3 linked regions of the Drosophila melanogaster genome follow. The protein of the gene in region 1 interacts with the protein of each later gene in a biochemical or structural test. Each region holds a gene or a part of one and is shown in the gene's direction. Other genes may lie near its edges. The genes, in order: dpr3, DIP-eta and DIP-iota.

Region 1 (8,513 bases):
CGATTTAACCAACTCGTTACAATCGTGTCTACGACCTGTAATAATTAACGGCGTCAAAATCCCGGAAGCACATTTGCAACGCTTTCAGTCCATCTGCTTAGCGAATTTTCTTTTATACAAAATTCGGATAACGCAGCGCCTAGTGGCGGACGTGTCTGGCGCAGAGGAAATTTGTGAAATAATTGAAAAAGAACACCGTAGAGCACATAGGGGCCCTACGGAGATTCGTCTCCAACTTTTAGAAAAATATTATTTCCCGCGAATGTCCAGTACGATCCGTCTGCAAACTTCCTCATGTCAGTGTTGCAAACTCTACAAGTACGAGAGACACCCTAACAAACCAAACCTACAACCTACGCCAATTCCTAACTACCCATGTGAAATACTTCACATCGACATTTTTGCGCTCGAAAAAAGGTTATACCTAAGTTGTATTGACAAATTTAGCAAGTTTGCCAAACTTTTCCATCTGCAGTCAAAAGCATCTGTGCATTTGCGAGAAACTTTGGTGGAGGCCCTACATTACTTCACCGCCCCTAAGGTCTTGGTTTCGGATAACGAGCGAGGGTTGTTATGCCCCACAGTGCTCAACTATCTTCGGTCTCTAGATATCGATCTGTATTATGCTCCAACCCAGAAGAGCGAAGTAAATGGTCAAGTCGAGAGATTCCACTCTACGTTCCTAGAAATTTATCGTTGCCTTAAAGATGAGCTCCCTACCTTCAAACCCGTTGAGCTGGTACACATAGCAGTGGACCGCTACAACACTTCCGTTCACTCGGTAACGAATCGAAAACCAGCAGACGTTTTTTTCGACCGCTCGTCAAGGGTAAACTATCAGGGTCTGACAGATTTCCGGCGGCAGACTTTAGAGGACATCAAGGGCTTAATTGAGTATAAGCAAATTAGAGGTAATATGGCTCGGAATAAAAATAGGGACGAGCCAAAGTCTTATGGGCCGGGAGATGAAGTTTTTGTTGCAAATAAGCAAATAAAAACAAAGGAAAAAGCGAGGTTCAGATGCGAAAAGGTACAGGAAGACAACAAGGTAACAGTTAAAACCAGATCAGGAAAAATTTTCCACAAATCTGATCTAAGAAATTGAGACGTGGCTTTCACATTTAAAAAAGAAACGCGAAAAAGAATAACGAAAGTAATAAAAGTACGTTGTGGCAGCTAATGAAATATTCCACCCATGCATACCCTATATAAAAAAAACATTAATAAAAAAAAAAAAAAAAAAAAAAAAAAAAAAAAATGAGTTAAGAAATACAAAAAGAAATACAAAAAAAACTATAAAAAAAATAATATAAAAAAATACAGATTATAAGAAATAAGAAATAAGAAATATAAAAAAATAAAAATATAAGTACACAAAATGTACCGTACCCCCACACACTACGTAGTCTTAGAACAACTTAGACGACCAGATATTTACGAATTGTCTTTTTGTAAGCGCGATTTCTGCATGCGGCGCAAATCCCGCTCACTGGACTGGCTGGGGTCGGCTTGGAAATGGGTAGCTGGATCTCCAGATGCTGCTGATTGGAACGCCGTCTTGGCCGCGCAAGCGACGGCTTCGAGGAACTGCAAAAACTGGAGGAGGCTAGCTGTATCCCTCGGCTACTGAAGTAACCAACGAGTGGTTAAGCAAGTCGACGATGGAATGCTCCTCCTGACCAACTTCAACGGAACTCTAAGAACGGCTGCAGAGAACTACGACCTGATCGGCTCCTTTATCATCCAATTCGACAATGAGACGATAATGGTCAACGGTCAAAACTATTCCAGTTACTCGGTCAGTCATCTAATGGCGATGCCGGCCGTGTTGAGCCACATAACGGCCAGCAACTTTCAACTTTCTCTGGAATACGTCCACGACGTGAGCATGAAGAATTTGGAAAAGATGTCCAACATGGCGAGTGAGCTACTAGCCTCTCTTCTCACCGAGGCGGCACTCGCAATCTGCATATTCCTAGGCTTTTATTTCCTATGGAAGAAGCTGATGTCCACCAAAGGCATGCCCGATGTCCGCGAGATTGCCGCAAACTTAGAAGCATTGGGCCAAACCGAGCTGAACAAGGCTCACTAATCTGCGGGACGCAGATCTTGAGGGGGGAGGAGTTAAGAACCCTCTTCTTGCGCTCTTCGTCAGGACTCACCAGCGCTCGGCTCTCGTGTTTTCGGGCCCCGTCAGCAGGCGACTCGGGGCCTGTCTAGTAACATGTTCGTGTAAGTTACGAACCCTCTTCTTGCGATCTTCGTCAGGACTCACCAGCGCTCGGCTCTCGTGTTTTCGGGCCCCGTCAGCAGGCGACTCGGGGCCTGTCTAGGAACATGTTTGTGTATGTGTGCATTCGGAACAAGTGCCGTTGGTCGCACTCAGGGTGAGGGGTCAACGGGGGAAGCGGATATAAAAGCAGCGGGGCGGGAGAAGAGGCCCCAGTGTCGAACGGACACATAACGGAACCGCTAGCAGATCGCGAACTGAATCTTAAAATAAAGCTAATCGTAAACTCGAACCCTCTTAACTATCTTGACTATTATTTGGAGAACCACAGCATGTTGGTTGTCATATCAAGGTGAGGTATGCGGCAGCGAGTGCCGAGAACCCTGATGCAAGTGGAACTTGCGTTAACTTTTATATATATGCTCCTGCCTCCTTTCCAGCGCCCTCCCCTCCCTCCACCATCCATGTTCAACCCAACAGCCTCACACATTTTCCAACTTTCCCACGGCGTGGGTGGTTCTGGGTGGGTGGCGCTGGTTCTGCTGGGGCCAACTGATTTATGACACTCAAATGAACTTCGACGCTGACTGAATAAATTTTGAGAGCGACTTTTGTGTCGAGTTCTCGATTTGTATGGCATTTTTTTTCGCTTTTCCAGCTCCACTCCTCTATTTTGCCGCCAAAAAAACCACAAATTTGTCCAACACCGATGCGAAAACTAAAATTAACTAAAAATACATTGGGTATGCAGGAGAAATAAACTATAAAGGATCCATAAAAACAAACATTATCATTAAGCTGGAAAAATACTTGTGTTGTATTTTGGGTCTTAAAAAATTATAAGTCAATAAAAATACTTTGAAGTTTTGATGGCTTTTTGCTGTGCAATATTTTTCGGGTTTTCCTGATTTTTTAATGCCTCTTGTTCTTGACGCCAGTCTTCTACTGCTTCTTCTTGTTAGTTAGTTGTTGCTTGTTTGGATTTATGAACCTGCCACAAATTCGTCAGCGAAAATCCCTGGGAAAATTCTCTCAGCTGCTGTGTTTTTGTTCCGTTTTTTGTTTTTCTTTTCGCTTCTTGTTGAGTTTGTCAAATTTTTGACATTGAATCTGCAATGCGGGTGGCTAGAAAAAAAAAGGATAGCCGCAGGTGAAGGCAGCAAAGGATCTGCAGGAGCAATGCAGTTTCAGCCCGACTGATTTTTCCACGCTTGGATTTATTTTCATTTTTTCCGGCTGCGCTGCGTGTTTTTTTCCCACGCCCCAGAAAAAAAAAACTGGCTGCTTGTGAAATAATTGATGTGCAAATGTTCAATTGAGTTCACCTTGAGTGAAAGTGAGGGGCAAAAGGAAGCCAATAGATAGACGGCGGCTTTCACTCTGACGAACGTTAAATGTCAATGGAATGTGGGGTGGGGTGGGGTTGGGTGTAAACGAGAGGAGGTGTCTGCAAATTGGTGGCTTAAATTGATTAAGCTCCAAATGCAATCGATTATAAATTATTAAGAGCAGCTTAGGCCTATTATGTGTGGATAGCTGATATATTGGTATTAGGAAATTCATAACAAGTTCATTGAAAATTCGCGGTTATTAATTATTTATTATTATTTAATTATTTATTATCCATAATACTTGGATTAAAATGAATTTAAAAAGCTAATAGCGTTTGTAGAAATATTATAGAGTGTGAAGCTAAACTTAAAATTATAATCTCATAACTTGAAACATTAAGTGTCTTATATATTTTGCAAACTGACTTCTATTCAAAATATGGCAATTTCTCAAAAGTTTCAACAGCCTGGGGAAATGTTTCTTCAAATAAAGCGAAAACTGAAGGGGTAACTTTATGCACTGAATAAAGGGATTTTATCGCTCAACAAAGAAGCAGTTTATGTCCTAATGGACTTTTTAGAACAAGAGGTTCATGAAAAGCAGTAAACATGCTTATGGGATATATTTGGAAGTTAAAAAGCAGTCATATCTCAAGAAGGATATTTTTAGACTAATGTAAGGGCATTTTAGACCGGGTGTCCTTGGAAGCAGTGCAGGAAAGGATTTTTGTTTCAACTGTAAACAGGAGCATTTACCACACGTAGGATTTATTTAGCAGCTAAAAGATTTTTTGACTATGGTCTATGGAAAAATATATCATTCTACTTAAACTAAAAAGCAGTGCAGACTGCTTTCTACTTAAAGCAGGGGAAGAATATGCAAGACCAAATAGTATGAAAATTGGTAATAAGTCTCTTAATTTTTTGAAAATATTATCTAAGCCAAATATAAATATTTAAAATTAAAGATATAAAAAATAATACTTTTAGGGCACTTACTTTTAGGTAAAAATTAAATATATTTTTTCTAAATTTATTATGATTATTTTTAAAATTTATTTAGTTTATTAATGCCCATTCCCACATTTCACATTGCGCTGCAAGGATATTTGCGGGATATTATTTCCCCAGGATTTCACGAAGCTTTAACACACATTCGGAGTGCGGCGAATTGTGGTCCTTACAAGCTTTTCCGACTCGTGACTGTGTGCGTGTGCGGCTGATTGCCTGCGTGTGAGTGTCCTGTTCGCGTTGTTGTCCTAGTCGGTTTTGAACTTTTTTTTTACGTGCCTCGGAAGCCTTCGCTTTTACCTTCGCCTTTGCCTGTAGCCGCCGTAGTTCATGCCGCCGATCTCAGTATTGTGACGGCAACCAGGGGCTGCGGAAGTGCCACACACTCGCGACCTCGAGTCCTTTTCGCGCACAACGGTAAATCGAGTGGGTTAGGCGGTTTTTCGAGTTTTTCGAGTTTCCCGTGTTTTCCGACTTTTCCGGCGACCCAAGGAAAGGCGTAATTTTGAAGTGCGTTAACGAGGAGATTCGCCGGAAAGCGGACTTTTCAATGGCCCCGTGGAGTGAAAAGTGGGAAACAACAATAGAAATTTAAATATTCATGAACAGTGTCGATTGTCATCAATTGTGCGATGTTGTGCGGTGGCTGTGGACACATCGCACCCGCCAAACATTGTGTGGAACATTTCCCGCTCCTTTCGCCAATCAATGGCTGTTCACACATGAACACGAATATATTTAAAGACTTACAATTTTGGGCTCCGTTCATATCTTATGTAAATGAATCGAGAGCGATAAATTATATTTAGGATTTTGTTATCTAAGGCGACATGGGTGCATTGCTCAAAAACATGTAATTTAAGTGCACACTACATGAGTCAGTCACTTGAGATCGTTCCCCGCCTCCTAAAATAGTCCCTTAGTGGGAGACCACAGATAAGGTCCTCGCCGCTCAAGATAGGCAGATGTGCCCGAGCGTGGGACCTCGATAAGGCGGGGACTATTTACGTAGGCCTCTGCGTAGGCCATTTACTTTAAGATGCGATTCTCATGTCACCTATTTAAACCGAAGATATTTCCAAATAAAATCAGTTTTCTTACAAAAACTCAACGAGTAAAGTCTTCTTATTTGGGATTTTACATTTGGTCAATCGAGCCTTTAATCGACTCTGCAGTTTCCCCCTACCAAAGGTAAGGAACTCAGAGAAAGGCCAGCTCCTTTAAGCATCTTACAGCTAAAGGTAGCAAAAATAAGTGACTCTTGTTTCCCCCTACCAAAGGTAAGGAACAGAGTATAAATATAAAAAGCAAAAGATACAAAAGAATCTTTTATGTTTTAAAACAAGCACCTTATAGTCTATAGCTAAAGGTTGCTTTGTGTACCATTATAAATTGTGGTAAGGCGTGCTTGAGGCCATACATCAGCAATTGTGAAATTAAAAAGTGCATAACAAAAGTGCCTTATAAATGCTCTAATAGCATTAAATCAGCTCATAAATAGAGTGCAGTGTATATGCCATAAGAGCATAAATTAAATAAAAAGTGCCTGAAAACAGTGCCTTATAAATGCTCTAATAGCATTAAATCAGCTCATAAATAGAGCGCAGTGTATATGCCAAAAGAGCATAAATGCCGAAATAAATGGCTAAAAAACAAAAAATCTGACTGGACTACAAAAATAATAAAACGTGCCAAAAAAAAAAAAAAAATCATCTTTAAACATCGACGGAGCCTTAAAGAAGAGAAGGAAGTCAAATTCAAAGGAGCCTCTACCAGCAGCAGAAGCAGCAACAACAGCAGCAGCAGAAGCAGCAACAGCAGTAGCAACAGCAGCAACAACAGCAGCAACAGCAGCAGCAACAACAACGACATCAGCTAAGTCAAAACAAGAATTTTCTGTTTATCCAAACACACATATATATATAAATACATATAAAATACATATACACGTACTATATATATTAAGAAATTACAAAAAATTTTCAAAATGATGTCAGAAAAGACTATTCAATTCCTTAAGAAGCAGTCCGAAATTATTTTGGAAATTAGAAAGTTGGAAGTAAAACCAACATTAACAGATGTAGAAATTCTAAAATTAAATGAGCTTCAAAAATGTTTCATTGCTAATCATAGCAATTTGTTAAAGATCGGCGTTGTCGATCATGAATATTTTAACGCGAAGCAGTATGATTTAATAATGATGGTGTTAGAAAAAATTAAAAATAAAAATGAAAAAATTAAGGGCGAGTCGGTAGAAAACACTTTCCCTAAATCAAACACTGTCCCTAAATCAAACCCTCCCCCTACATTAAACCTTGAAATGCGTGGTCACCCTGAAAAAGAGGGTATAGCACAAAACAACGCTTTAAAAGTAGAGCAGGCATTTCGTAATAATGTTGGCCAATTTCGAGTATATCTAGAAGATACGTCTAAACTAATAGACAGTAGTCCAGATTTCCTTAAAATAAGGAAAAATAAAATTGAATTTTTATGGCATAAAATAGATAACCTGATTGAACAGGTGAATAGTCATTTTGAGAGTTCGCTATTCGAAGAAGAAATTAGCGAACTTGAATTTGACAAACAAAATATTCTTACAGCCATTAATAGTCGACTCAGTGGCACAATAAATAAAGCTGAAATGTCGACGGTTGTTAAGGCGGAGGAGTTACCAACCCTGCCTAAAATACAGATTCCCACCTTCTTTGGTGATTCCAAAGAATGGGATCTTTTTAATGAACTCTTTACAGAGCTCATACATGTGAGAGAGGATCTCAGTCCTTCTCTCAAATTTAATTATCTAAAGTCAGCATTAAAAGGAGAAGCCAGAAATGTGGTTACTCATTTACTGCTCGGCTCTGGAGAAAATTATGAAGCCACTTGGGAGTTTTTGACCAAGCGATATGAGAATAAAAGAAACATATTCTCAGATCATATGAATAGGCTTATGGATATGCCAAATTTAAATTTAGAATCCAATAAGCAAATAAAGACATTTATTGACACGATTAACGAGTCAATTTATATTATAAAATTAAAGGCACAATTACCAGAAGATGTGGATGCAATTTTCGCTCACATAATTCTTCGGAAATTCAATAAAGAATCACTCAATTTATATGAAAGCCATGTTAAAAAGACAAAAGAAATACAGGCACTTTCTGATGTCATGGACTTTTTAGAGCAAAGGCTCAATTCTATATCATCATTCTCACAGGAAGTAAAACCTGTAAAGAAAATGATTAATAATAACAAGAATAAAAATTATAGTGACAATTGTGCATATTGCAAACTACCAGGGCATTATTTAATTCAATGCCATAAATTTAAAATAATGAATCCAGCAGAACGGTCTGACTGGGTAAGAAAAAATGGGATTTGCCTAAGATGTCTGAGGCATCCGTTTGGTAAAAAATGTATAAGCGAGCAGCTTTGTTCGACTTGTCGTAAACCTCACCACACGTTACTTCACTTTGCAGGTCATAATCCAGAAAAAGTGAATACGTGTAGAACAACAGGTCAAGCCTTGTTGGCCACGGCCTTGATTCAAGTAAAGTCGAGGTATGGAGGCTTTGAACAATTAAGAGCATTGATTGATAGTGGCTCTCAAAGCACAATTATTTCAGAAGAGTCTGCACAGATTCTAAAATTGAAAAAATTTCGGTCTCATACTGAAATAAGTGGAGTATCTTCCACAGGAACGTGCATCTCCAAGCACAAAGCGGTTATTTCGATAAGAAATTCTCCGAAAAATTTAGAAATTGAAGCAATTATTCTCCCAAAACTTATGAAGGCACTTCCAGTCAACACGATTAATGTTGATCAGAAAAAATGGAAGAACTTTAAATTAGCCGACCCCGATTTTAATAAACCGGGTCGCATTGATTTAATCATTGGAGCAAACGTATATACTCACATTCTGCAAAATGGAGTTATAAAAA
Region 2 (8,513 bases), 3.5 Mb from region 1:
GGTTTCATCTGATAGCATTAAAACTGCTCAAGTAACAGAACGAAATCGAAATAAATGAGTTGACTGCAAATAAATGAAAGATAATACACATTGGAAAATTTTACACCCTCTTTTCAATGGCAGCTATAGTATAGATTATGTTTAAATATATAATTTTATATTAAATATATATAAGGCTGCTGATTTTGATATTTGTACTCACCAAACTCCATTTTCATTCCAGAAACTCTGCGCAAGTACCCGGCTCTTAGTTCACTTACACGTCTCGCCTCCGAGGACTATGAGATCCCCTCGCCCGATGGCGGCGACCCCGTCGTCCTGGAGAAGGGCACCAGTGTGCACATTCCGGTGCTGGCCATCCACTACGACCCCGAAGTGTACCCGGAGCCCCACGAGTTCCGGCCGGAGCGATTTGCACCGGATGCCTGCCGGGAGCGTCATCCCACTGCCTTCCTGGGCTTCGGCGACGGACCGCGCAACTGCATTGGCCTGCGGTTTGGACGGATGCAGGTGAAGGTGGGCCTGATCACGCTGCTCCGCCGCTTCCGCTTCAGCCTGCCGCCCGGATCGCCAACTCAGCTGAAGGTGACCAAGAGGAATTTGATACTCCTGCCCAGCGACGGCGTCCGATTGCAAGTCGATCCAGTCGAGTCGCGCCTAATGTAAACACGATTCGATGCGGGAATAAACAACGCAGCCTGCCGTTCCGTCAGCAGAATATTCAATTAAACTCACCCGCTCCAATCGCTCGATTGAAAGCCAAACCAAAATTTATGGCAGCCGCAAAGACCCCCATCCCGTTCGCCACCCAAGGCTACTGCTCAGTTATCCCAGAATCCGACACCATGGGCATTAAATCAACACAGGCGACACAGGTGGTGGAGCTGGGGGAGGAGGCGGAGAAGGAGGAGTCGGAGGAGGATGGCATGGGGAGCTGGCCAGCCATGTGAGCCGACCAAAAGCCATTGCGGTCCAGTTTGATGCACTTCTCCGATGGCCAGCAGCACACAGCCCACAGGCCAACAGCCCCCAACCGATGCATTTGAGTGTGTGTGAGTTGCCTGCATAAATCCAAACATTTACAATATTTTGCTAATTAGCAAAATATGTGTGAATAATGCATTTGGCAGGGGCGGAGTGGTGAGTGGGGAGTGGGGAGTGTGGGGTGGGGTGTGTACTCCTGCGTCCTGCAGGTGTCATATTAAATTTATGACCAGAGCTGCCCACACAATCAAGAGACACTCGTGCGGATGGAGAAACTGTGACAAGTGCCAGCAGTGGACAGTCTCAACATTTTGGGCATTTCGGTGATTAGTTGTGGGCAAGCAGAAGACTCAGTGCCGGCATAATGAGCAGCACTAATCAATAAATGAATCAGGGATAAGGAGCGAGTAGTCGGCACTCAGAAATATTGAAACATTTTGAAACAGTGGTCGAATTGAAGGGTCTATGATGTGCTAACTAAATGGTTCATATCGACACAAATATGTCGTATCAATAATAACTGATCCCTACTCACCCAATAACTATTGAGTAAGTATTAAAAATGGTCGAAGGACTTAATTCACTTTATATCACTGTCCTGTTCGCCACAAAAAAAAAATTAAATGGCTTTTAATTTCCGATGGCCGGAAGAAACAACTTCACAATTACTGTCGACAATATCAACTGATCCAATCATTGGATTTCAATAGGAGATTGAGTCGTCTAAGTGCGTGTGGGGAATATAAACAATTATAAGAGAGTGCAAATTATGCCTAAAGTGGCAAAGAGAATAAATAAAATTAAGAGTATAAGTATCTCTATATTTATGGGTAGAATTTGGAGAAGACAATTCAATGCCCTTACAAGAACTATATCATATAAGATATAAGTAAAAAGTTTACAGGGTGCAATTACAATGTAGTAATATTTAAGTAAGCGTCCCTATTGATGTCTCTATTTTGGACGCACGATCCGAATAATTTCCGAATATTTCCATATAATTATACACTTTTATAGACTTTTAATTGGCAATTTCCTAAGCCGGTTGGCAACCTTGACGCTTCCTTCTATAACTCAGCCAGAACTTTTGTCTATTAAACGGCGCCGTAAAAGCGAAAATATAGTCATAATTTATGGCAGTTAAGCAGCTAACAAACCATCCTGCAGATCCTCCCCATCGACCCCAACTTCCCCACCACCTTTGCATGTCGAGCCCCCATCAGTGGGAGTGGGCAGATGTCCCGATGTGGTGGGTGGTGGCTCCAGACGCGCAGGTGATTCGTCCGCCGGGTGGCAGGTGAAAGAACTGCAGCTGTCGTCGTCGCATCCAGCGAAAAACGCGGAAGCGAGTGAAAAGCAATTATCAGGTGTCAAAATTTATATTAGGGGCTTGCAAGCTCGTAAAAGGATACCAGCCAGGAAGCAAGGCAAAGGAAACAAAGCAAGAAACTTGAAAACAAGTTGCTAGTCCTCCCAGTCCCTATATACTGAGAGAAAATAGTTCAAATAGTTGAATAGTCAAATTTATAAATCCATCGTTGAACATAACGTAATATTTCATTAAAGTGTATTTGTTCTTGAATAATTCTAATATGTAATCTCTTTGATTTTAATTTAAAATAATCAACTTTCTTTCTTCGAGTGTAGAGCTAACCCTTTTGGTAAAAATGATTTGTGGCTCCAGTGCATTGGCACGCAATGAAAAGTTTTCGATGGAGAAATGGAGCGGGATAGATAGTTCCTTCCAGGGACGCTTTATAAATCCTTTTTATACGTCATAAAATCTGTTATTGGTGGGTTTCTACTGTTTCCATCGCTATTATTTATTGGTCGTGTGCGTGTGTTGTGCGAAATTATATGCCTGTTATAAAGACGCGATAGGGAAAGGGGGCGGGAGTTGATTAGCTCCCGAAATATATATATATATATATAAGTATATATGAGCAATTTAGAGTTGCAGAGGGCGGTGGCCAGGTCAAAACGGTGCCTGACACAATGTGGCACGGTTATTGAAAAGCGACTGGCTGGTGTGCGTGTGTGGGTGGGTGACTTTCCTGCCTCGCTTGTTGCACTTGCCACACATAATGGAAATCTCCAAAGAAAAGTTTCACCAAGCAGAAGAAATTTAATTAAATAATGTATCATAGCGAACGGACTTTGAAGCATTTTTGAATCGATCGCAGTCAATTTTTAGTTGCATATTTCAAAGTATTGGGGGCACTAATATATTTAATAACAATCAAAACTGACTCGGAACGATGCAGGCGAATTTTATTAAATAATATTTCATGCTGAACGACTTTGTTATATCGTTTTATATAAATAAGACGGCCTAGTAAAGCACTAATTTAATTTTAAAAATTTTATTTCAATTCTTAGTTGGAAAGAACTTTGTTTCTGCATATATACTACAAATTATATCGTTAGAAAATTTTTGTTTGAGAATTTCAAACAGATTTCAGTTAGATGTAAGATTGGCCTTAGTTACGTCTTTAAATTTATGGAAACTATTTCTTGCGAACCATTGAAACATTGTTTTTTATCAATACATACTTAAATTTAAAGCATAATTTTCTGATAATGATTGATTTATATTAAATGAATCCCGTAAAAGAGATCCAAAATAGAAGACAGCGAAAGATCATCTTGCAGATGGCTTCCATTCCATTTTCTTCTACCTACAAGTCAAAATATATAGTATTTTCCTATGGCAATAATCTGTTGTACTTATTGCAGTTGTCAGAATTGCAAGTGATAATTCCCTCTCTCATATTCAAGCGCCACGACCAATGACAATTCATTTCTTCATCTCACACAGTTACTTACTATCAGCACCCCCTCTCACCATCACCATCCCTTCACCCAACCCAAAAAGGGTTAACCCTTTCCTTTGCCACAGATTTCATTCATAAATGCGAGCCACCAGTTTCACGCGCCCAAAAGTATGGCGAGAGAATTTCCCAGGCTTTCAATGCCATTCAATTCGTATTCAACCGAGCCGAGAGCGCGCCCCCCATTGGGCAGCACACGCACACACACACGCGCAGAGCATGTTAGGAAAAAAGAAGCACCACGAAGTGAAAAGCGCCCGCCAACAAAAAGCAAAATAAAATGTGGCCCAGCAACAACAAAAATCACAGTTGTCTGATTCGTTCGCGAGGCCGCTGCCCACCCCCCGGGCGCCCACTAAAAAACACCACCCACCCACTGGGGCGCCCACACTCCCCCCAAAACCCCCCAAAACGACGACGATTCGCCAAAGGAGCATCTTCGGCATCGCTCGGCAGTCGCTGGGAGTCGTTCCACGCGACTTTGGTGGCCCTCGGAAATGCTGGCTTCAGTACATCGACGGCGCTCGGTTCGTGCGGTTGGCCTTTAGTCCTTCGAATCCTGCTGCATACAAGCAAGCAGAATCCCTAACGGAATCGCGTGTGTTTTTTGCCGCCAAGTGTTGCATTCGTGCTGCAAGTGAATCGAAGTGATGCTGTAGACGCCATGAGTGACTTGTGCTGAGCGAATTTCTCGACAGGATTTAAAAAAAAAAAAATCAGGACAGCTCAGCCGCAGGACATGTGCAATTTGGAGTTTCACGAAAAATACAAGATTGCCAAGAAAATGCTCTGAAAAAGGTTGTTATGCTGCAGCTATTAAGTTAAATGCGAACTTCCATTAAAATCTGCATGCAAGACTATTGAAAGAAAGCAAGGAATCCTTTTTCTAATCGCTGGCTGTGATTGCGGCCAGTGAAGGCATTCGAAAATAGTTTGGCAGCGATTTCGGCCAGGTCAAATCGACAACAAGTAGAATTCGCTCGCGTGTTGAGTCGCGCGCGTTTTTAGCCGCTTGTTGGCAATTTAGCCGCGATTTTGGCGACATTTGCCGTCAGCTGCGTGTTTGCTGTAATTATATTTAAAGTAAAAACAAAGCCCGAGTTATTTATGAAGCAACAACAATCGGGCCACCCTCGGCGGTCAATGCTCGTCACATGATTTGCCATTCCAGCTGCATGCGTGTCTGTGTGTGTGTGTGTGTGTATCGTGAAATTTGCCTACAAATGTGAATGTGTCTGGCGCGCCACTCGACGCTGTTTATTACGAGTGTCCCCGTATGGCAGGAGTGCACTGTTTAGGCCACATGGGCAACAATTGCATATTTTATGTTTCACGGCTGCCCGAGTGTAATTTAAAGTTCATTGATATCCATAAAGCGCAGGACAAACCCTCGACGCTTCATGCCAATTTGCTGTCTAGCTGGCTAGCCATTTGTTGCAAATATGTTGCAGCGCTTTTGGGACGAACCGGAAATAATATGTGTACAGTGTACACTGTACAACCCACATTCGGTGGTTTTCCCCCGGGGTGGCATGATGGTGCCTGTTTTCGATTTATGGCGTTTCTCTATCATTTGCATTTTACATATAATTTCTGATCAGTTGTTATCTGCTCGATTGTGATTTCAGTTGGCGCCCACAGCCGAATGTGCACTGTCTACTGACGCTCCAGGTGGGGCCGAGTGGTATACATATATGTATATTATGGAAATTAAAACATGTTGACTCAAGATTGAAAACCCTGTTGTTCTGCTGCGAAATCGTAATCCCCTTAATCCGAATTCCCCCGCCTGCTCCGGTATCAATTGCATAAGAAGAATTCCAATTGCCCCCGGAGCGATAACGAAATGGTTGGCAAGGCCTCGTCGTTCAGTCGGCTTGACATAATGGCCGGCATGTGAGGAGTTGGATTTTTCCTGCCATTGTTGTTGCTGTTGTTAATAACAAGCGATAATAATCAACTTCCGTGCTGGAAAGCGAGCGGAGGAGAAAATTGTGAAAAACCGAGCGAAACTCTGATTTCTAGAAGGCGCTGCCAGCCTGAACACTATGAGTTATGCAAATTTTATGCAAGGTCCGGTTAACTGGGCTGCCCTTTTCTGGGCCGGATTAAAAAAAATTTAAAAAGCTAGACGGCGAATAATTCTGAAAAATGTCGAAGTGGCATCGCGATAGAGCGGGATATTTATCACGTGTTAATTAATGTTTGCGCTGGAAATTGAATTTAAAGTATAGCTCGAGAAGTCTGGTAGTAGTAGCGAATGACATTTCAGTTGAAGCTTCTACATGTCAGCATTATTGTTTTAAAGGGAAAAATGCAAAAGGTGCTTCAAGCAAACTGTCGGGGGGGTTACTGAAAATTTGCCATAATTCAGCAGCTGATTATACACATTGAAGCGTTGGAGAAAAAGGGACCGTGCATGTCCGAAACCATAAAAATAATATATGGCTTGAACACTACAAAGGTGCCATGAGCACCTCTTATTATTTGTCATAAATATTTTCTTTTTTTGCTTTTTCATAAGTTGTACTTAAAGCTGGTAACAAAATAAGTACAGGAAAAGGATTTAGAAACATCCAAATTGAAATAAATTACACATTTGCTTGGAAAATTGCTTGTGGTCAATTTAGGCATTCATCACATTGCTCGATTGAATTTTCGCTTTGTTTAAATACTTTCCATTATTTATTACAAAATATTTTCAATTTTATATAATTACAGAAGAATGTGAAACACAATATATATTATATATGCTTGAATGAATGAAGATATTTTGTCAGTGTAGGCTGTTGTGCCAATTTAGAAAAGCAAAACTTTTAACTCGTGATAATTAATAAACATCAGTGATCTACATCGCCATCAATATCCAATGGCACCAAACATCCAAGAGCTGCCCACCAGAAGCGGGAAGGTACTTTCGACACAATCGCCTCGATATGGCTTCGGATTGTGGTCAGGCCGTGGGCCTGAAGCCTGAAGCCATCACCTGTCCCTGACTCCGAGTCCGACTCCTGACGTGGCCCGCATGCTCTAAATTATTAATAATATTGCCAGGCCCATTTGCTAGACATTTTTAGTGCCTACCGCCGTTCCAGGCCAACCGCCACCCCCTCCCTGTAACCATTTGCAGTGCTGTCGTTTGCCTGTTGTCTTTTGTAGTCTACTTTTCTGGGCATGCAATGCGGATTTAAATGTGTGAGTGTATGGGTGTGTGTGTGTATGTGTGTATGACAAAGGACACATAGCACACATGCCGGCAACTTTGCTTTCAATTCCGCTAAATTATGAAAAAATCAATACGAACTCGAAGGGAGGGGACAAGGAATTTTAATGAAATGTCAGTTTAAAATGGTTCCTGTCAGTTTGCGGCCGCCAGAAAGTAGACTTTTATTTTTCCAAAACCCGAAATCGTTTGCATGTTCAGGCTCATGGCCGAGTCAGCTGGAAAGTTAATCAAGGTTCCCCAATCATAAGGGCGGACTTTCGAACATATTGATATCTGCGTCTGGCAGCAGGCACCCTTCTATTATTGCCCCCGAACTAGTTTTAAGTGTTCCGTAAAAATAGTTTGAACAGAAATATAGGGTTCAACCTCAGCTTATCAATAGTAATTTAAGTAATCGACAGAACTTGACCAGCGAATCTTAGCGAGTAACCGGGCCCATAGTGATAGTAACTTTTATTAGATATTTTAGATACTTTTGTTTTTTTTTTTACACAAAATAATTCCCTGTTAACTATAAATTTCCGTTAAATAAAGATCTTAATGGTAGTTCTAATGTATTTTTATGCATTTTTGTAGACAACAGCAATTTAACTATCAATTCAAACGACAATTATCGGTTGGAGACTCTTAACTATAGACCTAGCAAATGGTTTTGACCAATCCAATAACTATTTGAAAAGCTCATGTGATGCATGCTCATGGGCCAATAAACAATTATCGCAAAAGTCTGATTACAACTGCATTGGGTAACATTTGCCGGCAAAAGTTGTGTCATTCATGTCACCTGGGCAGGCTTCTAAAATGGAAAAGGTGAACCGAACTTAACTCCGGCATAAGCCTAACTATTTCAGACCCATCAGAAGTCCGTAAAGATGCACGATTTGATGCTTTATTTACGAGTTCACAACGTTGCGGCTGCCAACGAAACATTTCATTTCCGTTCCGTAAACAGGTTTGCCCACCGGCCACGTTTAAGAGCCGTGAAACAAAACGGAGAACGAGTCTAAAATGAAATGAGCAGAGAGGCAGAGCATGCAACACCTTTTCCAAAAGATAGTTGCAGGTTGGTAGTTAATTTCTGGCAGCTGTTCGCCTGCACAATTTACACAGTCCAAACACGCAAAATAAGCCAAGAGCACTGTTCTCCGGCCGGAGAAGGAAATATGCTGAACTGGGCCCCCGGGGGGAGGGCACAGGATACGTCCGGAGAGGAAGGCCGTTGGCCCTCCGGCTCGGATTTAAACTTGAAACTTTTAATTTGGCGTATTTTCAACCGGCATCGCGATTATTGTTTGCCATTGTTTCGTAGTTTTGATTCTGTTTTCAAGTACTTTTTGTTGAACTTTGCCCTGTTGCCTGTTTACACGCATAAATAGCAACAGCAATGGCCAGAAGTTGATGCCATTAGAGGCGCGCTAATGACTGCCAATTACGAGGCGCGCGGATATTGCCCACTCGACCCCTTCTCCTCC
Region 3 (8,513 bases), 4.5 Mb from region 1:
GATAATTTCTATATCAGCCGGTATGTTCTTACTTCCATAAAAGTATAAAGTACTATAATTTAATGTATATAATCCCATAATTCCTACAGATATATGTGGCTACTGGCGTTGATCTGCAAACTGGGATCCGTGGTCTTTTTTGCTTGCGCCTGGTGGTTTTATGTGCCACCCAGTAAGCCATTGAATGCAAATGGAAAGGAAGATGTTAATTGAGGAGATAATAACCATCGAACTGAAACTTATAATTATAATGATCCAGCCAGCCATTTGGCTCATATTGTGGCTCATCATAAGCTGGCTAGCATTTTTATTCGATTAGCTATGAACCTAAGAAGTATTTTAACTTTACCAATGCGAATCTTATAAAAGATTCAGCTCATAATGCCACTTAAGATATTACGTAAGCTTATCACAATATCATTTGCACTTAAAACAACAATAAAAGCTATCTGTGTAGATTTAGAAAAGTGAAATGTTTTTAAGTTTTATAGTTTACTTGTAGCAGGGCTTCTTGAACATCTGCTCGTAGTTCAACATGCTCTTGACTAGCACTAAAAAATGAATATTTTATTGTGATATTAATTTTAAGAACTGAGATATTACCAACCCCATCGGCTGCCTACAATTGTGGGACAAACGGCGTGCCTGGTCAGCAGATTTGGGTCACCATTATTGTGGAGGTTGTACCAAAAGAGGGCGGATCCCTTCTTTGGCTGAATAGCAAGTTGGGCGCCGGGAAAGATTGTGGTGCCACCCACTGGAACATCGGTCATCTGGAAGTGTTAAATTGGTTAAATAGTACATTTTCTATAGAGTGTTGGTTTTGAACTTACGTAGAACAAGAATGTCATTAATCGATCACCTTCCTCAGTCAGTTCCTAATAGTTGTGTATGATCTAGCGATATAATGAATAATATACACTTAAATGAATCAGGTTACTTGCCGGATAAAGCTTAATGTCCATGTAATCACTGTGTTCTTGGAAATAACCACCAAGTCCATAATTGATTCTGGCCAGTGTGGTGGTATTGCCCACATCCAGGCCAGATATGTCTGCCATACGATTTACCAACGTTTTGTCCAACTTTCCGCCATCGTCGTCGGTGACTTTAATGTGAAAGAGACGATTCACCCGATCTGGAGTCGTATAGTTTGTGGTGGTGCCCAGAATCATCTCCTCTCGGGTCACATTCGTCAACTGAGCTATCTCACTGTCATAGATCACGTCGTGATATAACCAGATAAGTGGGTCTCTGCTGATCTCCTCCTCCTTTAGAGGAGCTATTCGCATAAATGGAGTGGTGGTGCTATTATAGCGACACACTAGTTGAGGTCCTGGTGGAAACTTTCCCTGGCAGCCCTGTTCAATCATAGTGGGCGATTTCCTTGGCCTTAGATGCACCAATGAATTGTTCGGGTCTTGAGAAAGTTCCTTCAGACAGTCAGTTAAGTTTTCAACGGAACCTGATGGTAAATAATTATTTATAAACACCAATATTATTGCTTCTTTGAACTTGCCTTCTTGAAGCCGACTTATGACAAACATTTTTTCGAGCTCTTTTCGTTTTGGAGCATAGAACTTAAATGCAATATTATTTTTTGGTTTGGTGAAGACACTTAAAGCTATTCGATACCATTCAGCCGCACGTCTAAATTCTGATCGTTTGTACATATAGTCTGCTAAAGCCAAGCAGTCGGAAGCTGACATTCGCGAACTATAGAATTGTTATCATTATTATCTAATAGTGTTAAAACTAAGTTATCTTACCTTAGCTGTTGACCTGCCACAAGACCCTGGGCCATATCCGATGACTTCAGGTCGTAGAAGTGTTCTATTCTATCCATTCCCATTAGGGCCTCTTCCATATCATTTGCGTGGGGTGTACGATTGATTAGCTTATTCATTTCCTCGATGTCAACTGTAAAATATTTAAATAAACCAATAGCCTGTTGTTTCATATTTAAGTGATAAAATACAAAAATGTACTTTTAGCTTCCCTTGAAATTGAGAAAACGTGCAAACATTGTATATAATCCACACCTTTTATATTTCCTTGATCCTTTAAGTAAGCAATCAACTTGGGCCAATCTTGATGAGCCCGCCTTAAAAGTCCAAAGGAATTTAGGGGATTGGACACATATTTATATCGATCCACCTTGTGATCCAAATAATTCGGAGTTAAAGAATTAATAAAACTATGTGAAAGTTAAAGTGTAATTCTAGTTTTAAGAGAGGAATTAAAATATATATCATACATTCTGAGAGTTTTGATTTTTTGTTGCAGAAAGCTAACATAGTTGTTTAAATGCTCCATATAGGAATTCTCAATCTCGCGAAGTTCAGACAGGGCTCGAATGGAATTTGAGTATATTACTTCCTGTACTACATCATTTTCGGCTTTCTTTGCTTTGCAAACTGTGAATAGGAATAATAAAATCCAGTTCAGCAGAATATAATGAAATGATCTTAGCAACATTCTGCTGCGAAAACTATATTTTTTCATTTCCTAACGAAGATACTACATTTTAAATTGATTTATATCGCTTATTCGTCAGGCCTATTTTAAATGCTGCGGTGATTGATACACTTAAGTTACACATATACACTGTTTGTATATTTAGCTTAATATAATTTAGTATTTCCCTAACAAGCCTCATAGAACATATTTCATGAGTGATTCTTGTTTCAAAAAATAGTTGTAAATTCGCTTACTTCTTTTAACAGCGCTACACAACACTATAACTTTTAGCAAAGTTATACACCGCCATAATTTTATTGTTAGGTAACATCGGAGTTGTAAACCATTTCTGTTTGCTTTTTCGAAATTTGATTTCGAGTTTCTACACAGTTAGCCAAGACACATACTTTTCATGTGTAAGTAAAAGTAAGGAAAGTTTATTTGAAAGGCTTTATTATACATCAAGCAGAAACAATTTGAAATTATCGGCAGTTTTTTAAATAAATAATTTTTAAATAATGAAAAAGTATGTTAAATCCACTAAACTAACAATTCTTGAATTTAAGTCTATTTTAAAAATATACATAACTAGTCAAGGCAATCTAATGTACGTATTGCCATTCAGATACTCTAAAACGTAAGTTTATTTTGCTGACTAATCAAATTATGAAACAAAGGTAGGATTTATCAATCACTTAGACTTCAAGATTGCATAAAAACACACTCAAATTTTAGCAAAATATTATTTAATTAAGACAGAGGCTCTGACTCAGAGGCCAGAATGAAGAAACGAAGAGAAACTTGCATGGGCCAGCAAAAGATGTGCCCCTAGGGAAAACAACAATCAAGCAAATTCCACGTGCTTATTATGATTATTGTTATCGCTATTGAAAAGCGCTAATTGTGCGCAAATAGCGGTGCGAACTTAATGCCAACTTACCGAGAAGCTCACACATGCAAACCAAGCCAGTTGGAAGTGCAAGCATCGCAGAAAAGCAGAGGAGCAGCAGCTGGAATCCGGAGGGATATGGGGGATACGGGTGAAAGTTGGGCAGAAGATGCGCGGCATTTCGGGGTTAATTAGAATGGTATTGGAGTTGGCCTTTATTCTCCGCCGCCCACAAAAAAATCACCAATAATGTGTCACTTTCCCCCGGCAACATGTCGTATACTTCATATCGTCACGTGCATATGAAAATATTACGTCGGGCGGTTTATGAATGAAACATTTACTATTGCACAGCACCGTCTTTCGGCTGCCGGGCACCTTGACTACTACTGGGCTACAACCATACCCACTAGACACACTAGAACCACCCAACCACCACCCACTACCTTCGCAAGGCCGCAGGACACATGCGCAACGCCAGTGCCGCATTTGAATTTTGAATATGAGTTTTGACACTTGATTATCAGTTCGCGACCAGTTGTACGGGTGTGCGGACGTTTGGCCACGGCAATCGGCGGAAAAAACTTCATCCGCAGAAGCGGAAAAAATACATTTGCGCTGTTGCGGCGGAAGTTGAACTTCGGCCATTTGGGCAGTGAAAGTGGCAGAGTTAAAAATTAAAGTGGGAAATCAGCAAATATTCAAAAGTTTCGCACCTTGATTGCGGTTGAGTTTTCGGCTATGGGAAGGCGATTGCCCAGCTTTTGGCTGCTGCTCCTGCAGAGCGTGTGTTTCAGCCAGGCCAGCTTTTCGGAGCTAAACAATTGTAAGTGGATCGAGGATGTGATTAACTAAAGGATAAATAAATCTGATTGCTAATAATGAAATTAGTCAGAAATATAAGATTTACTTTGAATGAAATGCATAACCCATTAAATATTAAATTAAACATTTTAAGGATAGTTTTTCTCGATTAATATGACGTTTTTTGAATGTTGTACAATTAAAAAGTATCCTGTTTACAAGCTGAACTTTTGTAACCCGCCAACACGAAATGATGAACCCAAAAGTGTACAGCTAATTGACTGCAAACTATCTAAAGCCGGAGTGGTAGCGTATAAAATGGAAGGTAGCTGGTAATCGGAAGTCCAACGAGTCCATAAGTGAATAAACTGTGGCCAACATATTCCCCAGACGGGACAGACAGGATGGCGGTGATAGGGAAAGGGAGCGGGCAGAGGGGTTTCCGGTGGAGAGCTGCGAAAGAGTAACGAGGGGTAACTTCCGCTGGGGAAAATGTGCGCCGAATAAAAAAAACAAAACAAATTTTCCTTGACTTTGGCGAGCCAAATGCGATAAATATATCAAAATTCGACAAAATTCGCATTTAAATCAATGTGCCAGATGCAAAGTAAACATAAATATTGGCAGGCTAGCCGCAGCGTGCGATAAGAAAGTGAGAAGTGGCTCAAAGGAGTGATGATGCACCGCACCGCACGATGTTCCGTGCCAACCAACCAACTCCCACCACCCACCACCCACCGCACAGCGGGCAGGCAGACAGACAGTCGCGGAAAGGCGACGTTTTCCCACTTCCTATTGCACTCTGCGATATTTTCGTTTCATTTTTTTTTCTATTCCTGGCCGGCGGTTTCTGCCGCTGAAGTGCCGCGTTTTTCGGTTGGCGGTTGCGGGTGTGGAACTGCCACTGCAGTGGGTTATTTCGCAGTTTTTACTTAACTTTTTGGCAGACATTGCGTGCTGATTGTGATTGTGATTCCTTTCGCCGGCAGACAGCTGGAGTGTCTAACAGGAGACAGGACATTCACTTTCCGTTTCAAGTTCAAGTGGCGTGGGGAAAGGACACGGCCGGATTTGCAGCGACTTCGCGGGGAAAATGCGGCTTAAGTCCTGGCCGAGCGATTCAAGCGATTCCAGCGATACAAGTCGTGCAAGAAAACAGGAAAATATATTTAACAACTCATAGTCAATTTCCCCTTATAAAATGTGGCAACAACAAAGGCGGTGCGGTGGCGAAAAAGTTAAATGCTAAATTACGCTACCTTGCAGACATAAATAAAAGAAGAAAAGTTTAACTATATGAACACACATGTATGAGTACACTCAGAATAATTTCAAAAGTAGAAATCAAAAGTAAGATATTATACATAATTACTTACCTTGTAGTTTTGTTAGCGTTTTATGTTCATTGCTCCTTTATGCATAAAAAATCTAATCAAAATCTGTTGATGCAAATATATTATTGAAATTTTTGTTTTTTTTATATTAGTTCTTTAGCTTATTATACTTTTATTTCCAGTGCAAAGTACGTTTGTGTTTTATGGCTTAAAAAGTCTCGCTCGTCCCTTTCTTCGGAATGTTTCAATATGCAAACATGCAATAACCAAATTGCAATACCAACAAAAACAGAAACCATATCAACTGAAGGCAGTCAAACAATGGCGCCTCGTTCCCCACACTCAGAGCAACTGAAGGCGGAGCCTTCGGACTCGGACTCCAAAAAAAAAGCGCCCAACTTGCGGCCAGACCCAAACATAATCGCAAATTATAGGCTCTATGGCATGGCATCCGTAGGCTACCCAATTTGATGCTAGTTTGGTGGATACCCCCCCCACACAACGCAATCAATTCGTGGTGGATGGGGGGGGTATACATAAAGGTGTAGCACAGCTTTTTACAATTTTCCAGGTACCAGCACCTGCTGCCCCCCAACCAACACACACACACATACCGCGCTCTATTAGATTTTTGCATTTTTTCGGGTTATTATTTGGTCATAATTGTAATTTAGGCGTTTGCTGGAACAGGAACAGTAGCTGGAACTGGATTCCTCGTCTCCTGGCCACAGAGTCGTGCTACTTGTTAGGCATGTGATGTGATTTCTTCCATTACTCCTGCCTCCAGCCCATTGTTGTGTTTGCGATGGTGTGGGTGGGTTCGGTTTGCGGTTGGAACTCTGGTGGTTAGATTGGCTGACGGCAACTGTCGAAGTCCTGCGGTCGGGCACCTTGACTCAAAATTATTGCGATGGGACTCGAGTTGGCCGAAGCAACAACACGCCGGAAAGCAGTAGTTTGAGTTCATAGTGTGTGAACCCAACGTGTTTATGCTATTATTTACGATAAAATCAAAACATAACTATCCCGCTGTTCAATATTATGTATGTACAATACATGAGGTACTATTTTTGAGTAAAAGTGCTCAGAAAAGAATCCATAACCAAATCATAGGTTTAAGATGATGTTCAAAACTATTGTTTCTATATATATATAATATAATCAACATATTTTACTGATTCAAAAATAGCTTCGTTTTGCTAGTTTTACAATTTGTTAGTGTTGAAGCTACTCTATTTTGCCAGAATGTAGCTGACATCTATAATTTATCTAATTATTGGATTATCTGCCGCTGTCTCGGCCTAATGTTAACCTCAAGAAATTTATGGCCGTTAAACAATTTTAAATATCGTTGACCATTTCGGCGGGCCATCTGGCAACAAACTTGGCCTAGTCTGCGTTGACATTCTGCAGAGACACGCAAAAATGTGCGAGGATAAGAAATGAAATAATTATCCTGATAATTGTGGATTAGAAAAGCTGCACATAAAAAAAGGTTATTTTTTAATTGAATTAAATGTTTGGCGTCTGAGTTCCATTAAAATACAGCAAATGCCAGTGCCTCACATTTGCAAGCCCCATAAACCACCCCAAAAGCCACCCAGCAGTTGTATATCGTCGCCCCATTTAGCGCCCTAATGATGAAAGCCATAAATGCCAAACCATTGGGCTTGGTGCCACCATCTTCCTTTGCAGCGGATCCCAAGTTCAGCGGTCCAATCAACAACTCAACAGTTCCCGTGGGACGGGATGCCCTACTCACGTGTGTTGTCCACGACCTGGTTAGCTTCAAGGTGGCCTGGCTGCGAGTGGACACGCAGACGATACTGAGCATCCAGAACCACGTCATCACCAAGAACCATCGCATCTCCATCTCCCACACGGAGCATCGGATCTGGCAGCTAAAAATACGCGATGTTCAGGAATCGGATCGCGGATGGTGAGTGAAAGTATCTATCAGATAGATGGACCATATTCTTCTACTAGCGTTTACCGTAGGTACATGTGCCAAATCAACACGGATCCCATGAAGAGCCAAATGGGCTACCTGGATGTGGTGGTGCCGCCAGACATTGTAGACTATCAAACCAGTCAGGATGTGGTTCGTTCCACGGGACAGAACGTAACACTCACTTGCAGTGCAACGGGAGTGCCCATGCCCACCATCACCTGGCGTCGCGAGGAAGCGACTCCGATACTGATTTCAGACGACGGCGATCGGGAAGTGTTCAGCGTGGAGGGTCAGAATCTCACCCTGTGGCAGGTGCAGCGCTCCCACATGGGCGCCTATCTCTGCATCGCCTCCAACGGAGTGCCACCCACAGTGAGCAAACGCGTCATGCTGGTGGTGAATTGTATGTGTGAACAAAGAGTTGGATTCAATATATAATACTGAGTTATCTTTCAGTTGCGCCCACGATCTGGACACGCTACGATACCATCTACGTGGGCCTGGGCCAGAAGCTGACGCTGGAGTGCATCACAGAATCGCAGCCGGCATCGGTGAACTTCTGGCTGAGGGATTCGCAATTGCTGCAAGGAGGTTCCTACGAGTCGGTCTCAGTGGACCACGTCTTCCGGATCGTGATGCGGATCACCCTGCGTCCAATAACGAAAAGAGATTTCGGAGAGTACATATGCAGGGCAAAGAATGCGATGGGTCAGACAGATCGGATTATAACCGTGCACCGTAAGTGAGATTATATTTCGGTTACTTAATCCCTTAGATGTAACAAATGTTGACCACCAGATAAGGCCAAGAAGCATGGACAGCACTCGCATCAAACTTCCTCCCGCGAAAGTCAGTTCATTGTCATCGAAGGTTTGTTTGTTCTACAATAAATAGAGTCGCGATAAAGATAACTAGCTAAATCTTATTGCAGAATACATCGCAAATATGTCTGATAAGAGCTGCAGTTTCCAACCGCTTTGGATAATGTTTCTATGTTTCGTCAATAAAGTGTCACTTTTGTGAGCAATCAAACAATGTGTGCTTTGTCTTTTGGCCACGTCTAATGAGTGACTTC

What was found.
Region 2: the proteins of dpr3 (region 1) and DIP-eta form a complex in vitro, tested with the Drosophila melanogaster proteins (one study listed by BioGRID).
Region 3: the proteins of dpr3 (region 1) and DIP-iota form a complex in vitro, tested with the Drosophila melanogaster proteins (one study listed by BioGRID).

Annotation. Positions count from the first base shown.
Region 1 is NT_033779.5:2,106,295-2,114,807, reverse strand, and holds the start of dpr3 (defective proboscis extension response 3), read left to right. Parts: upstream 1-4,929; 5' UTR 4,930-5,082; intron 5,083-8,513.
Region 2 is NT_033779.5:5,613,755-5,622,267, reverse strand, and holds the start of DIP-eta (Dpr-interacting protein eta), read left to right. Parts: upstream 1-4,321; 5' UTR 4,322-4,613; intron 4,614-6,606; exon of another isoform or gene 6,607-7,038; intron 7,039-8,513.
Region 3 is NT_033779.5:6,617,088-6,625,600, reverse strand, and holds DIP-iota (Dpr-interacting protein iota), read left to right. Parts: upstream 1-3,900; 5' UTR 3,901-4,090; coding exon 4,091-4,175; intron 4,176-6,154; exon of another isoform or gene 6,155-6,521; intron 6,522-7,182; coding exon 7,183-7,426; intron 7,427-7,485; coding exon 7,486-7,841; intron 7,842-7,894; coding exon 7,895-8,176; intron 8,177-8,236; coding exon 8,237-8,308; intron 8,309-8,369; coding exon 8,370-8,461; 3' UTR 8,462-8,467; downstream 8,468-8,513. Other genes in the region: Oatp26F (organic anion transporting polypeptide 26F), read left to right, coding at 1-20, 90-213; CG34345 (uncharacterized protein), read right to left, coding at 493-551, 608-773, 834-878, 945-1,465, 1,520-1,716, 1,770-1,920, 2,043-2,197, 2,258-2,478.